2 linked regions of the Struthio camelus genome follow. The protein of the gene in region 2 purifies or fractionates together with the protein of the main gene of each other region. This does not show direct contact. Links are inferred from orthologs where the notes say so. Each region holds a gene or a part of one and is shown on either strand. Other genes may lie near its edges.

Evidence for each region. The genes of interacting proteins can lie anywhere in the genome.
Region 1: the proteins of SMARCA1 (region 2) and CECR2 purify together in Homo sapiens (affinity purification with mass spectrometry; 3 studies listed by BioGRID and IntAct, with this or other methods). This does not show direct contact. The link is inferred for Struthio camelus from reciprocal best matches to the Homo sapiens genes SMARCA1 and CECR2.

What each region holds. Positions count from the first base shown.
Region 1 is NC_090942.1:70,502,771-70,510,566, forward strand, and holds the start of CECR2 (chromatin remodeling regulator CECR2), read left to right. Parts: upstream 1-4,784; coding exon 4,785-4,961; intron 4,962-7,796. UniProt on the Homo sapiens protein: Regulatory subunit of the ATP-dependent CERF-1 and CERF-5 ISWI chromatin remodeling complexes, which form ordered nucleosome arrays on chromatin and facilitate access to DNA during DNA-templated processes such as DNA replication, transcription, and repair.
Region 2 is NC_090952.1:9,558,200-9,565,604, reverse strand, and holds the start of SMARCA1 (probable global transcription activator SNF2L1), read right to left. Parts: upstream 3,016-7,405; 5' UTR 2,971-3,015; coding exon 2,866-2,970; intron 1-2,865.

The sequences.
Region 1 (7,796 bases), on a different chromosome or scaffold from region 2:
ATCTTTGCTAAATTGAGCAAATATTTCAGGTCTTTTCAGAGAAAGTGGAAAGCATTCCTCCCTTCCTTTTACTTCCAGATGAAAGATTTTGTCCTACAGGAAAGGGGACTTTCAGTCCCTATGTCACCTATGAACTTTTTTGTTTGTTTTTTGGCACTTGGAATTTGGCATTTTTCTTAAAGGAACAGCAGCACAGAAACCCAGTGTCAATGCTGAGCAGCAAAAACGTGAAGCTTTGATTTGCTCCATCAGCCCCAGAGTTCTTTCACAGTGCGGCTCTACACGGTATACGCATTCAATTGATGGCCCGTTTGAGGGGAAAGGAAGAAGGAGAACATGGGGATAGGGAGGAACGTATATGGAGGGAGGGGAACAGCCGGGGTGGATATTGAACAGAAAAATCAGTAGGTAGGTAAAGTCTAACCAATAGCCTAGATAAGTATTGATCAAGAGGACTACAGCACACCAGGAAAGAAGCCTGGTCACAACAGGCTTTGGTTTTGTTTGGTTATGAGCAGGAAACTCAAAACCAAAGGTGGCATGGAGGGGAAAAACCACACAGGATTTGAGAATGGAGATATTTATCACAGAGGAAATGCTGGATTGCATTCATCAGGCCTTTGCTCTCTGTTCAGCAGCAGAGGGAGAGCAGAGATTTCTGTGTTTGAATAATAAATCTAAGGAAGTGATTTAAGAACAGTGTAAGAATCTGGCAAAGTGAATCTACCTTAAATAATCATGGGCGGCTCTCAGCTTCCTTGCATAAAAAGATAACAATATAAGAGAAGACACAATTGGACAGAAAGAACGGGGACGATAGAGGGAGCCAAATTAATTCAAAAAATCTTAGGGGAAATTAGGATTGTAGCTTTTCTGACAAAAAAGAGAGATTAGGAGACTTTGTTAAGATTCACAAAATTCTTAATGGGATAGAAAGTGGGGATACTACAAAGCTATTTGACCTAGTGTCAAGAACAAGCTAAGATGCAGCAATAAGATAAGCCATAGCTGGACACTACAGGAATTCAGGGAGGAATGTCAAGACAGAGCAAGACATAAATGCAACATAAACTCCCCTTACATAGCAACAGGACAAAAAGATTGCTCAGTGGAAGAACCAGCATTATTTGAAAGGCAAGTAATACTGCAGTTAACTGTCCCACAGAAATCTGTGTCTGAGGGTTTGTGACCCAAAGATTTCTCACGCAGAGCTATTGGTATTTTATACTGGTCTGAACTGTGTGTTGTTAAAGTATTTCATGTTGGGCTGCAAACTCCTCTTTAGCGATTACCATATCTTAGCTGAAGCTGGTTTAATCCAGTGCAGGCAGATACAATACACAAGAGATCAGACACTTCTTTGCTCAGTACCAAGGCTCAGAGTCACTGCATCTGGAAATAGAGTCATGATTTCAGTACAACATATTGGTTTCACGTAAATAATAAGTCGTCAAAGGCAAAAGGTTTTTTTTAAAGTAGTTTTGGGGAAAACAGACACAAATACTGTACGTAGAAAGGTAAATTATAAACTGGCTTGACGGCGTGTGTTTCAGGAGACGTTCTCTGTTGTGGGTGTGGAATTTACAGCAAATGAGAAGGGGGTTGGACCCTGAGGAGTGCCTGATGCTGCTCCATGCACCACTGATGCCCATATCACTATTTATCCTCATCGCCCCTCCATTGCTAAAGCAACCTTTGCAGCCCCTACCCACAGAAGAGCAGAGCAATTGCCATACCAGATCAGACCAGTAGCCCTTCCAGTCCAGTATGCTCACTTTGACAGTTGCTGCTGTCTGATACTTCGAAGAAAGGTGCGAGAAACCCTGTAGTGGACAGTTATAGACTAACCTGGCCACGAGGGAAGTTTCTCCCTAATCCCTCACCATCAGTTAGTGGTTATGCTGTGCCTTGAAGCCTGACAGTTTATATCCCTCCTAAAATTTATTTATATCCTGTCTAATGTGACCATGAATGTTCTTAGTCTCCATATAAACGTCTAATCCTTTTCTGAATCCTGCTAATCTCCCAGCCTCAATGAAACCTTATGGTAACAAATACTGTGTGTTAATTGTACACAGTACAAGTATTTCCTTGCACCATTTTAAACTTGATTCCTTCCAATTTCATTGGGTATCCCTTGATCCTGCAATATGAAAAAGGGCAATGAACTCAGAGATTGTTTATTCTTGCTGACAGCCCAACTGCTGCATCTTTGTTTCTTCTCTAAATGAAGTGTTCCTACCCTTGGCCAAAGTTTTCATGGTAAGGCTGGTACAGCGTGGTCAGCTGTACACGTGGTCACACGTGTACAGCTGGTACAGCACAGCTCTCATACCTTCTTCTTATTCTCTATTGTCAACTTCCATTTAGAAAAGAAACAGGGAGAGGAAACTAAAAAATATCAAAAATAGATGCTTGAGACTGTTTGAAATCACATTTCTGAGAGCCATGGGCTGCTCTATGTCAGCTGGTATTAACTCAGCAGCAACAATGCCATTGCCAGCTGATGCTACCAGCCTTTCCCTCGCTTATGCCTTCAAACCAGAGACAGACCAGGATATTTGCAATGTGATTTCCCCTTCGCCTGATCCAGTCTGTCTTCAGGCTACTCCTGAAAGGGGAGGTTGTACTCTCCCTTCCGTCCCTTCTCAGGCGTTTCACTGCTTCTTTGCATCAGTGCTGGTGACCACATGGCGGGGGGATTAATCAAGTCACTTCTGCTGATCCGAGAGAAAACTAATTCTTTGTCACCATCATTAAAAAAAAAAAAAAAAGGCAGCCTTCTGTCAGATCAGTGAGCCACATCACCCAGCAGCCGGACGATTGCTAACTCTGACACAAGGGACAGGGCAGGGATATTGTCAGAAGGCGTAAAAATGATGCTCCTTTTGGGGGCAGCCTAAGCCGGATTGGGGGTAACGGAAACCATGCCCTAAGGCGTTCAGCCGAGCCTGCTGGGGGACTCCAAGTGTTGGGGCAGAGCACACCTCTGCCACGTTTCCAGCATTCATTGAGAACACATTTGGGGATATCAAACAGGCAAGATTTGAAGGCATTATCAATGCTACACTGCCTCAGGCTTCAGCCTGGGCTGTAGGTATCTCAGGTGTGCCTTCCTGCACGGACCCCAGCACGTCTGCGAGCAACAGCCTGTCAGCCTCTGCCAGACAGAAAGAGGAGAGGCTGAAGATGAGAAAGTTAACAGAGTAAAGGAAAGGAAGGGCTAGGAAAAGTAGTGCTGGTATAAAAACGTCCCCAGCCAGATGAAGGTAGAAAGGAGAGGAAGGAAGGAGAGGAAGGAGTCCTAAACTGTAGTTAAACATGTCTTTGCAAGCGTTTCACTGGAGGTAAGATCCTAAGCTGGCACAGCTGTGCACAGTAATACTTTGCAACTGGTTTGAAGCTGGACTGTAGAGGCAAACTGAGCAGCTGTAACGTAACACAGGGTCAGCATACAAAGCTGTTACCAGCGTAGTATTTCATTACATCTCTATACCTTGTTATAGTCCGTCCTGCAAGAAGGTAATACCTAATTCTTGCTGAATGCTTTTCTCTTAACAGATTTCCAAACGGGGCACTGTTACTCTCTTCACTGCAGGGCCAGGAGAAATGGAGGTACTGGGCACCCGGGTGAGACGTTAAAGCACCTCAAGAGAGAGGGGCTCCCCACTCCTTCTGCCGCAGCAACGCAGGGAGAACGAGAAGTGCCACTTGGCCTCCCTCACTTACAAATATAAAGCGAGAACAGAAAATCTGGAGGCCCGGCCAGGACATGGCAGGCTGGGGGACACTGGCCGCTGCTCAGCTGGGCCGCTGCAGGGCAGGTGCCCCCGGGCCGCCTGGGGAGCCGAGGCCTTGCCCTGGGCTGCTCGACGGCCCGCAGGGAGGCCGGGCGGGCGGCGGCGGTTGAGGTGGCGGTTGAGGCGGCCGTTGAGGCGACCGTTGAGGCGGGAGGTCGGGGAGGGCTGAGGCGGGGCGGGGAGCGGCCCCAGTGGCAGCCGTGTCGGCGGCAGTAACGGACGGGGCTCCCCTGCGGCGGGGGAAGGAAGCCAGCCGGGCCTGAGGAAGGGCTGCGAGGTGTCTCCGAGGGGCTCAGCCCCGAGAGGCGCCCCGCTCCCTCGCCTCACGCCGGCCGCGGAGCGCACGGCCGCCCCCGCCCCTCGCCTCGCCCCACGCCCCGCCCCCCCGGTAGGCGTGGCCCGGGCGGGCGCCGGGGGGGCCTGTTGTTGTGATGAGCGCCAGCTCCACCCCCTCCTCGTGCACGGCCGCGCGGCTCCCCCCTTCCCACCTCGGCCCCGCCCCTTCCCCTCGCGGCCCCGCCCCACCGGCGTCCTTCCCACCTCCCTATTGGCCCGCCCGCCTGAGGCTACCCCCCCCACCAACCCAAAGGCCACGCCCCCTCCCCCCCCCCCCCCGGCGCCCCATCTGCTGCTGCCGGCGGCGCGGCGGCCGCGGTGCATGGCGAGGGCCGCGGCGCGGGGAGGCGGAGGCGGGCGGGCCGGCGCGGCGGCGGCCGCCGCCCGCCCGCAGCAGGGGCAGCAGCAGCAGCAGCAGCGGCAGCAGCAGCAGCGCCCCCGCCGGCCCTAGCGCCCCCCGCGCCAGCGCGGAGCGGCCCCGCGCGCGGGCGGGCGGGCGGGCGGCAGCGAGGGGGCAGCGCGGGGCCGCCGGGGGGCGGCCGCGGGGCGGCGTGGCGCCGGGGGGCGGGCGGAGCGCGGCGGCGGCGGCGCGCAGCCGCCCGCGGAGTGAGGCAGCGAGCGGGCGGGCAGAGCCGGCGGCCGCGGGAGATGTGCCCGGAGGAGGACGGCGGCTGCGGCGGCGGCGGCGGCGGCGGCGCGGCCGGCTCCGAGGCGGCGGCGGCGGCGGCGCTGGACGAGCTGCGCTCCTGGTGGGAAGTCCCGGCCATCGCGCACTTCTGCTCGCTCTTCCGCACCGCCTTCCGCCTGCCCGACTTCGAGATCGAGGTGAGACCCCCCCCTCCCACCTCCGCCTCTCCCCCCCCCCTCCTCCGCCTCCTTCCCCTCCCCGGTGTCCCCTCGGCCGGCGGCGACTCCGGCGCCTCCGCCGGGCGCGCTCGCAAAACTTTCGGTGCCGCCGTCCCGGAGCAGCGGCGGCAGGCAGGACCCTCCCCCCCCCCCCCCCCCCGAAACGGGGCGCACGACCGGGGCAGCGGGCGCGGCGGCGGGGCCGCATTGTCCGTGCACACACGCAGACACAAAGCGGGGGGGGGGGGAGGTCCGCGGGTCCCCGCGCCCCCTCCAACCTCGCCTAAAATGGTGGCGACGAGAGGCGGGGCGGCGCCCCCCCTGCCCTGCTCCGGTGCCCCCCCAGCGGGCACCGCCGCGGCCGGTCGTGGCGGCCCGGTTCCCACCTGGCCGCGGCGGCCGGAGGTGCCGCCTTCCTGCAGCCCGGCCGGCGCGTCCCGCGGGCGCGGGTTAATCCGCCGGGGAGGGCTGCGCTCATTGTGCGCCGCGCAGGGAAGGGGGGGACCGGAGGGGAGGGGGGACGGGGCTCTGTGCAGGGCAGACGGGAAATTTCAGCCCAGCTGCGGTGCCTCGAACACCTTATCTGTCCGCCCGCGGAGAGACGACTCGCTGGTTTTGTGCTTTTTCCAAAATTTCCTTGTGCAACTTTCCCGTGCTGCCTTTTTTTTTTTTTTTCCCCCCTCCCTTCCCTTGCGTGTGGCTAATGTTCTGTAAATATTTTGCGCTCTGGCTACAAATGTTGCAAACAAAGTGTGTCGGGGTAGGAAATCTTTTGTGCTTGCGGTGAAAAGCTATTCTTGCCAGCACATTGGCAATAAACCGGGTGAATAACATGGTGGCGTGCGTTTTTTAAAGACAGTAATTGCCCCGGGAACGCGAATTGCATCGATGCTGGAAAGTTCAATAGGATGTGCGAAGCCCTAAAGAGCACAACGCCTTGAGCAGGATGCGAATTTCTGAAGCGGGGGAATCCCTTATGCAGTGCGAAATCTTGAAAGGGGGTAAGGTCTCTCAATGATGCAACTTCTTGCGAAAGGGAACTCCCCTCCCCCTCCTATTGAGGCAAAACCATTAAAGGGGGAGGCTCTCCGGCCGCCAGCGCAAAGTCTTGGAGGAACCTGAATTTACAATGATAAAAGGGCCAAGGCGCTAGCCTTTCACCTTTGGAGGCAATTAGCATCTGGCTTGCTTCACAAATGAAGTAAATGTGGGCTCCCCTTTGGTTCCTAGAGCACGCTTAGGGTGGGGGAGTTAACATCACTGGGAACAAATTAACTGCTTTTGGGGGTCGCAGGGGGAGAGGAGATGCGTGCGCACGGGCTGGGGCTGAGAGCGATATGAAGCACGACTAGCCCACCGAAAACGTCGCCAGCAACGTCTGCGCGTGGGGATGGCCTGCTGCGTTTTGCGGAGACTGGTTTTAAAGGGTGACGCCTTGTACGAGTGCCAGTGGACATCACAGTTAAAATCTGCGTGCTGCAAGGGGACAGATGCAGCTGTGATAGCTTTGCGTCTTCGGGCGTGCAGAGTGCATCTCCTTCCCTTTCCCTGTGTGATATCAGCAGTCTAGTGCAGGCTGCTTTAAAATTTGCTCTTCCTTGAAGTTCACCGTCTTGTTACCTCTTCCCTGGTGTAGTTGTTCCCCTCTCATCAATGGTTTCAGGGATATCTGGGAATGGTGTGTTGCACAAAGAGCGTACACTGTTTATGGAACAAAACCATAAAGGGACTTAGTAAGTAATACTTTTTTTTTTTAAGGGTGTTGCTTTATGTGATTCTTGATTTGTATGTTAGTCAGCTGCATAAAGAAGGCTTCTCCCTTGGTTTCTCACTTAGGAAAGCCTGTGTCCCTTCTGGCCATCTCACAGGATAGTCTGGTGCATCCGAGAGAGGCTTTGAGTTTCAGGGGCTTCTGCACGGAACAGAGATGGCCGTCTTTCTAGGCGTTTAAGGAACGCCAGCCCCCAAGGCAATATTTGGGGGGGGGGGGGGGAATAGCTAGCCACCAAAAATGAAACTATGCGATCATCTACAGATGAAATTTTCTTACTCTGGCTTTGGTTATCGCAGGAGGTACACTTGTGGCTGAGGGCAAGTGGTTTGAGAAGTTACAGTCCCCTCGGTCAAAAGTTACTGTCCCTCATCTGGGATGCGGTAATTGAGGGGGTGACTGCCCCAGTCCATCGGAACCTGTTTTCCGATGTATTCAAATAGAAATGGAAAGCTCACGCGGGTCACTTCAGAGTGTTTCAGCTGAAATGCTCTGATGTTCAAAGTGCTTTGTAGCAAATGTTTGTCCACCTGCGCACCCCATGTCCCTCCAGGCCGGCCTTGCTTGGGATGCAGTCGGATGCTCCTGGAGGATATTCCCCTGATGGGGAGGGCCCAGGTTGGTTCTCAAGTAAGAACCTGGTTGGTGCCTTTTTATGCTAATATAAGTGTATCTCCAGTGAAGAGTTTGCTTAACTCTTACAACATTGTTACGATGGTGAAAGTCTTAAGCTAACCCTATAGTTGTGCATGTAACAAATACCCCTTGCTTTTTCAGTTGCTCAGACCTTACTGCACTGCGGGATTGGAGTTTCACTGCTGTGGTCACTGCAGTTCCCAAACTGGACAAAATCTCATCTTTTAATACGCTTTTTCTTTTTTTTAAAAAAAATAGAACTATTATTTCTTGTTTTGTTTTTTATTCCCCTCACCAATTTGTTTTCTTCTGGTAGCTCTGCCCGTATTTAGTCAGAAGGTGCTATAGTGATAGGCCATCTGGACCTGTCCTGCCCTGACTGAGCAGATCTGCTGGTAATACTTGAA
Region 2 (7,405 bases):
GGAAGCCTTTATGTGGAAGGACATAAATAAGAGGAACATAATCTGAAGCTGGAGAACACCTTTCGAAGTTTTGGCCCAAAGACATAAATCTCTGCAAAGATGAACAGTACTAAGTGTATAATAAAGTTGTTTGACAATTTAATGATTTTATAAATGCCTGACTTCAGCTTCCAAGGCCAAATGGTTATGTTGCAAGTAGATAGCATCAGAAATTTTCTATGATAAATGACTTAACTTCTGACAGCTTGATTCAGAAAGAAGTGTTACAAGAGGGCTGTTATGCCAACATACAAAAAAGCAGTTCATACACATGTGTATACCCATGCCTCCATTAGATTACTATGTAACATAGCATAAACTTCAGTGTGAAAGACTACCAATGCTAATACTGGAAACAATCTCCTTGTTACCAAAGTGACAAAATACTTCACAGTAGCCCATTTCAGATGTTTCTTTCAGCTCCCCGGAAATAAATTAACATGCTCCTAAATGAACATGTAATGTAAATGAATGTGTCTCAAAAAATTAAGTCATCTGTCTACCTCAGATGAGTCTGAAGTTTCTCCTGGACAGAGGAGAATGGTTCAATATTATGAGAATCCCCTTGGAAAGCTATTGCATTACAAGTCCAAAGGCAGATGGCTCTAATACCAGACTGTCTGTCCTGTTACTCAGATTTCCCTAGCAGAAGGAAATTTCACACTGGCCATACCCATCCAGCTTATTCAGAAATAATTACTTGTGAATAATACGCTTTCCCAGTTAAACAAGTAAGTGAACTGGTATGTAAATTTACCACAGCTACAGCATGGTAAATTCACATTCTACACCGTAACCTTCAAGAAAAACACTTCAAGAAAAAGCAGGGTGTTCCCTGCTCACCCTCACTCCTCATTGCAGTGTTTCTTCATCTGATTTACAGATCATTGATGGCCCCACAATATCAGAAGTAATGAACAGGAGGAGACTATCAAAAACTGAAGTAACACACAAACAACTTAAGACATACGCATCCCAGTATCCTTTCTCTTCCTGACAACTTACATAGTGAAACCATAGCATACTCTTTCCTCAAAACATTGCTGGTGGAGCTAGATGGGTAGCAGGCACGACCACCACATCTGAACTTGCTGCTGGGTAATATCCTGCCTTATAAAAAACTAGAGCTTGCCAATTATTACGTTTTGATATGAATAAGAAAGCTTTTCTCTTTTCCTACTAACTGTAGCATATGTCTAATACAACACAGAAGCACAAAACAATTCATAAGTTTATGGGAGTCGTACCCCAGAAACAATACGCTAGAAACAATGCATCTTCAATAGTAAGAGGACTGATTTAACAGAAAATCTGATCAGCAGAAGCCTCAGTGCAAAAAAATATATATACCAGCAAAAGGGTACTTTCACTTTTAACTCATTTTGTGCAAGGAACCATCTGGTTATTACCCACCTCTACCCTAAAAAAATTTTCCACTAAAGATTAAACTTGAGATAACATAGCCCACTGAAAAATTGTGTCATTTAAACATCTTATGATCAATAACATTGCACAATTCTTTCAAAAACAGAGCCCGAGGCATTCCAGGGACCCAAAACACTTTCCCTTAAAATCTCTATTAACTAGTCTAAACAAAGCTACTAACCTCAGGCTGTGAGAGAGAATTCTATCTAGTCAGTGCAATAGTTTGTCCTAAATTGGATTATCCACATGAATGCCTAAATAAATGACTGGGAATAAGAACTGCTGCTTTGGTCGACTTTATTCCTGTACCCTGTGCTGCTGAGTTTTCTAAATAGATGCATTAATCAGAAGGACCTCCTTTTGTGTTGAACTCACATATGCAAAGTGGAAACACATTGCAAACAATCATTAACTTCGGACTCTATTAGACTGCTGCTGCAACAAGAGACTATGTATAGCGAAGCAAAACCTTGAAAGGGGTAAAGGGGCGCAACAGGTTGCATTATATCCCATTATTATGTAGCTTCCTACCTGTAGAGTTATGGAAGTGAAATTCCATAGTCTGAATGAAAACCTCAAACAACAGCAACCTCCTTTTTTTTTTCCTCCTCCTTAAGAAAGGTAGGGAACAGTATGGTTGATACATTCTAACCTGTTCACTACTCCCAAAGGATCTCGCCAGATACTCATTAGACATTTATTATCAATTTTGTATCAGCTGAGATGTATACAATTTGACAGTACAAGCTGTATCCAACAGAGAGATAATCCTTTTTTCTCCCGAACCATCAGGTGATGTTCACAAGTACACTGCCCTCTATTTCACAGCCAACCGCCCTTCTCGCACAAGAGTGCAAGAAACAGGCGTTCTTCTCAGGGAAGAATGGACTTCCAGGGAGAAACAGACTTTCCCCAGCTGGAGTTAAAATTCTGACGGCGCTATCATCATTTCTGCCAGCTTCTGCAACGCCACAGCACCCGGGCACGAGTTCTCACAGGGCTCCTTCCTCAGCTTACATCTTGCTCGGTTTCCAAGGATACCTGAAAACACCGCTGCGGCTAGCGGCCTTAGCCCGGCCGTCCCGGTGGGACCTTTTCCTCCGACCAGCCCCGCAGGCCGGCGGCCGCCAGCCGGGGCAGCCTCTCGGGAGCGCTGCGCTCCGCACCGGGGCTGCGCGCGGCCGGCAGAGCCCCAGGCGCCAGGGCCGAGGCCGCCGCCGCGCTGCCCGCCCGCCCCGCGCCGCGGCCGAGCCCGGGGCCTCCCCGCCGCCCCCGCAGAGCCCCGACCCGCCGCCCCCCGCCGGGCGCAGGGCAAGGGCGGCCGGCCGGCCGGGGAGGGCGGCACAGGCCCTGGCGCTGGGCGCTCTGCGGCCCGCCCGGGCCCCCTCCCCGGAGCGGTACCTCCTCGGCGGCCGGCTCCTGCGCAGAGGCCGCCGCCGCCGCCGCCGCGGAGGTGGACGGCACTTCGCCATCCGAGCGGGCGGCGCTGCCGGGGCCGGCGTCCATGCTGCGCGCGGCGGGGCCGGGCCGGGCCGGGGCCGGTGGCGGGGCGGGGCGGGGGCGGGGAGCGACCCCACCGCCCCCAAACAGCGCGCGGCCCGGCCTCCGCCCCCCGCCCGCCTTCCCGCGCCCGCAGCTATCGCGAGACCCCACGCCGCGGCGGCGGTGCCACGACACGGCCGCTCCCGCCTCTCCCGCCGCCGCCAGGGGACGGGGCGTCGCGCATGCGCACACGCCGCGGGGTGGGGTGGGGGGCGGTGGTTGGAGCCGTGCCTGAGGCGAGGCGAGGCGGGCGGGGCGGCGCTTGGTGCCTCGTGCCGCGGCGCTGCGAGGCTGCCGCCGCCATCTTGCGGCAGCGCCGCCTCACGGCGAGGCCGCCGCGGCCCGCAGGCCTTTCGGCTCTCCCAGGCACCGCCGTGCTCTCAGAGCCAGTAGCCGTGACGGTGTGTAGCCCACTACAGCCACTGCTAAGGCCCCCGCGCTGCCGCATCTGTAATTGTCAGGCCCCGAGGGACGGGACGCAGCCTGCTGCCAGTGGCAGCTCAGCCCAGGCATGTCCCCGCGCCCTGGCACGGCCGTCGTCCCGGCTGCTGTGGGAGAGCGAAGCGTCCGTGCTGACATGGGGAGCGGTAGGAGCTGAGGAAAGAGGCAACGCTGCAGGAGCCAGGCTGTGGAAGAATACGGTAAGAGATAGGAAACGGTCGCAGTTGCAAATCATATCCCTTGGTTCTAAACAGTGCTGCATATCACCAGTACGTCTTCCTAGGTGCCCCATGCTCTGTTCGGGGGAACATGATTCCTTAACATCTGCAGAGCTAAGGTATACCAAAGGTGTTCCCAAGCCAAGAGTAGTTTAAGGGGTATTCATTAGAAACATTGTTTTTAATCATTCTAAATTCAGCAGTGATTACATATTTCATGTTGAAAGCTGCACTTATGAAGCCACTCAGTTTGCTTTTTGTCAGCGCGCGTATTTCTGATTGTCCGTACAAAGAGTTCAGGTTCTAAGCTGCAGAGCTCCAGCTTGGCTCATTCTCCTGAAGGATTCCAAAACAATCCTTGAGATGGCGGAGTTAAAAAACAGAGAGCTCCAAATCATCCATTTTACCTGATGATTACTTGCAGAGGCAATACCTTGTCCAAAGAAATAGATCAAACCCCAGCCCTGTAGGCAGAACAAGCAATAAAAGTTTTTTCATTCCAGTAACAAGTTCAGTATCTGTTATCAAGATCTTTCAGCATGAATCAGCAACTAAACTGAGCAAATGGGTTATGCAGTTCACATACACTGCATTTAGAAAGGTGCATCAAAGACCTCTCTGCAATATATACATAGTGTCCAATAAAAGATGTCATTCTGTGAAGAGTTAACCCTGTATTTCTGAAATGTTTCCATGACTGCCTGATCGTTCTGGAATTCAGTTTCTAAATCATGGTCTAGCATAGACCACAAGAAGCTCTGAAACTTCTTGTGAAACAGCTGCAAAATAGCAGTGCTATTACAAATTATTAAGCACACTACTGCCTTCAGTGTCTGTTGCATAGTTTGCAACAAGGCAAGGTCCACAGTGGTCTTCAGTAGACCTTCCAGGTAATTTATTTTTAAAAACCTTTGGGAAGTACATTTTTCTTAGCACAACTGAGGAGTGACACGACTGTTGCTAAGAGTACTCCAAATACCTTTTCTAAGCAGGGTCATCTAGATCATAAAGCTTAACGTTACCTTTGCAAAAGTCTCTGAGTTGGGGAAAATCTGCTCTGTGATGCATTTGTTCTTGCATCTTTACAGAAAACAGCTCACTAGCCGTTTTTAATACTTGACTTTCCTACAGCAGTTTCAATTGCTTGTAGCTTCTGTCTATACGAAGCACTCTCAAGTGTTTGTCACAGCTTGATTTTTACTTGAAATTCATGGGAACGTTACATGCCGTACAAAACAATCAAGCTGCAGCTTTCATGAAAGGTGCCCTTTGAAGATTTGTTACTTGTGTGCTTAGCATTTGCATTTGGCACTTTGCTTAGATGTTCTTAGTTACCTCCCATCGACTATGTTGTGTGCTCCTGCAGGTCCACAGACCATGAGATGAAAAATCACTTAGATATACACTAGTATTATCAAGTCATATTCCACAAATCTAATTAAATATAAAAGCATAATGTTTTTTGCATATATTTTACACCTTTTTATAGTTACATCTTTTGTAATACTTGTAAATTTCACAGAATTTCTCTGAAGTTTTTTGTTGGGGTGGGGGGGATGACACTAGCTGTCATGTTAAAGTTGTGGACTTAGCTATTACTTCTGTGGTTTCCCATTTTTTTTCCTCCCTTCATTTACAATCTGCCAGGCACAATTACCAGTAGTCCCCTAAACACTTGAGTTTCATAGCAAGGCCTTCTCTGTCCAGCTCAAAGGTGGCACTTGACATATTGTGTGACAGGCACTATATTTTCTTGTTAGACACAGAAAAATAAATTGCATATACTTAGGCTCATAGTGTCCTAAACTGTTACCATTTTACATTTCAAAAACTGCTGGAATATGGAGAGAGTTGGTGAGGTGTGGATCCAAAGATATTTTCATAGTTATCTCTAGATAAGACTATAAAGAGTCTTTCCTTTGTGATCTTGGACGGTAGATACTCAGCCTCTCCCAAACAAGTAGTTAATTGTGGTGGACTTAGTTTCTCTAAACTAAAGCTTGGGTAACTTTTTTTAAAAGGTCTCGATATTCTGTGAAATTGCATTATAGGCCAAATTGTCATAAGATTCCGTTCTGTATGAGTTCATGTAAATGAATTCTATAGGTACGTACCTATGGGTGTGGATGGAGAAATGTTACCACAAAGCTGATCAGAGAGGTAAAGTATGTGCTGAGAGATTGTGTGTGAAAAAAATCTCCCAAGAACTGATAAACTCCGGAGAACAGTAGACCTGTTGAATGCACAAGAAGTGATACACTCAGTACACCAACAGTTTGCCAAATCTGTAGAAGGCCACCAGCACACACAAGCATCAACAGGTCGTATAACTCAGACCACATCCAAGAAAGTGGTGGCTGTGGCTACTACAACTACACAAGCCTACAGCATCATAAATACACCTGATGGAAGAAAGAATGCCTTAAAGGACTTTCCCAGCAGCTACCTAGAAGCCACTGGCATGTCAGTGTGACCCTCTGCTTCTGAATAAACATCTGGGGCCAGCCACCTAACTCTTGCTCAGACCACGTAAATATGTGGTGATTGTGTGTACGTGTAATTGAACCGTGTGAGGAAATAAGTGAATGCACTGTGTGAATAACTATCTGTTAGTAATAAGAGTTTGAATCTATTAATAACTACTTAATAAAAGATGTCTTAATATCAGTTGTGATCTGTGCCCTCTCTTACTTAATCTCCTGTGAGTGAAAAGAGAATTTTACAAGAAAAGGGTAGTATTTTTGTCAAGTGCCACTAGATGGCAATATCATGCTATATTCGGTTCAGAAATCCTGCCTTCAAGGTAATTGGGCAGCCTATATATTATTTACTATGAAAGCAGCTCACTCTTAAAAATAATTTTATCGAGAATAGGAAAAACTGTATATACATTATATTTATGAAGCGTCTCATACCTACTTGTGTTTAATTATTTGTAGTACTTCATTCTGTACATTCAGTATGTTCCCTGCAATACAAAGATGTTGAGGGGGTGGGGAGAGGATTTCACATTCAAGAGACTCTCCATTAAATGCTATGGTCCAAAAATCTATATATACACACCTAGTCATTTGTAGTTTAAATATGCTGGCTATGAACTTAAACCACAAAATACATGTGAAAACACATGAGCTGTAAGCAGTAAACAGCTTTATAGACTGGAAACAAGTAGGATCTGGGATTAAAAATAAGTGCACTATCTGGGGAGTTTGGGAAAAACTAGTCTATGCGGGAACTGCTCTTTAAAAACAGTTTCCTGACTTTACTGCAGAGTTAACTCACATGGTTACCACCTTTATCTATATAGGCTAGCCCAAGTGTGAATAACCACAGCACACTAACCATTCATTACCTCAATTTCAGTGTTATGCTCTTGCTTAGTTAAGTTTTGCTTATATTAGATACCTTCCCTTCCCCCTCCCCCCAAAATCTCAGTTGTTAGCTGGTTCAGTCTCACAATTGCTTTAGTTGGAAAGAGTGATGACAGAGCTAAGTGTTCCTCTGATGTAATCTTATACATTGTAATCTTAACAATTAATCTGCCAGGATTCTGAGGGTACTGATAGGCCTTGGAGGCCCTGACCAGCCTTACCTGGGGCCTCCACCCACACCCCCTATCCATGAGCTCAAGAGCCTGATTTCACCTCAGCCCAGGGCTTCCATCCCTGCCCAAGCTCACCATCAGGGGAGCAAGGAGCTGAGCGTGCTAACGTAGCTGGCAGGGCAGGCCCAGGAACAGC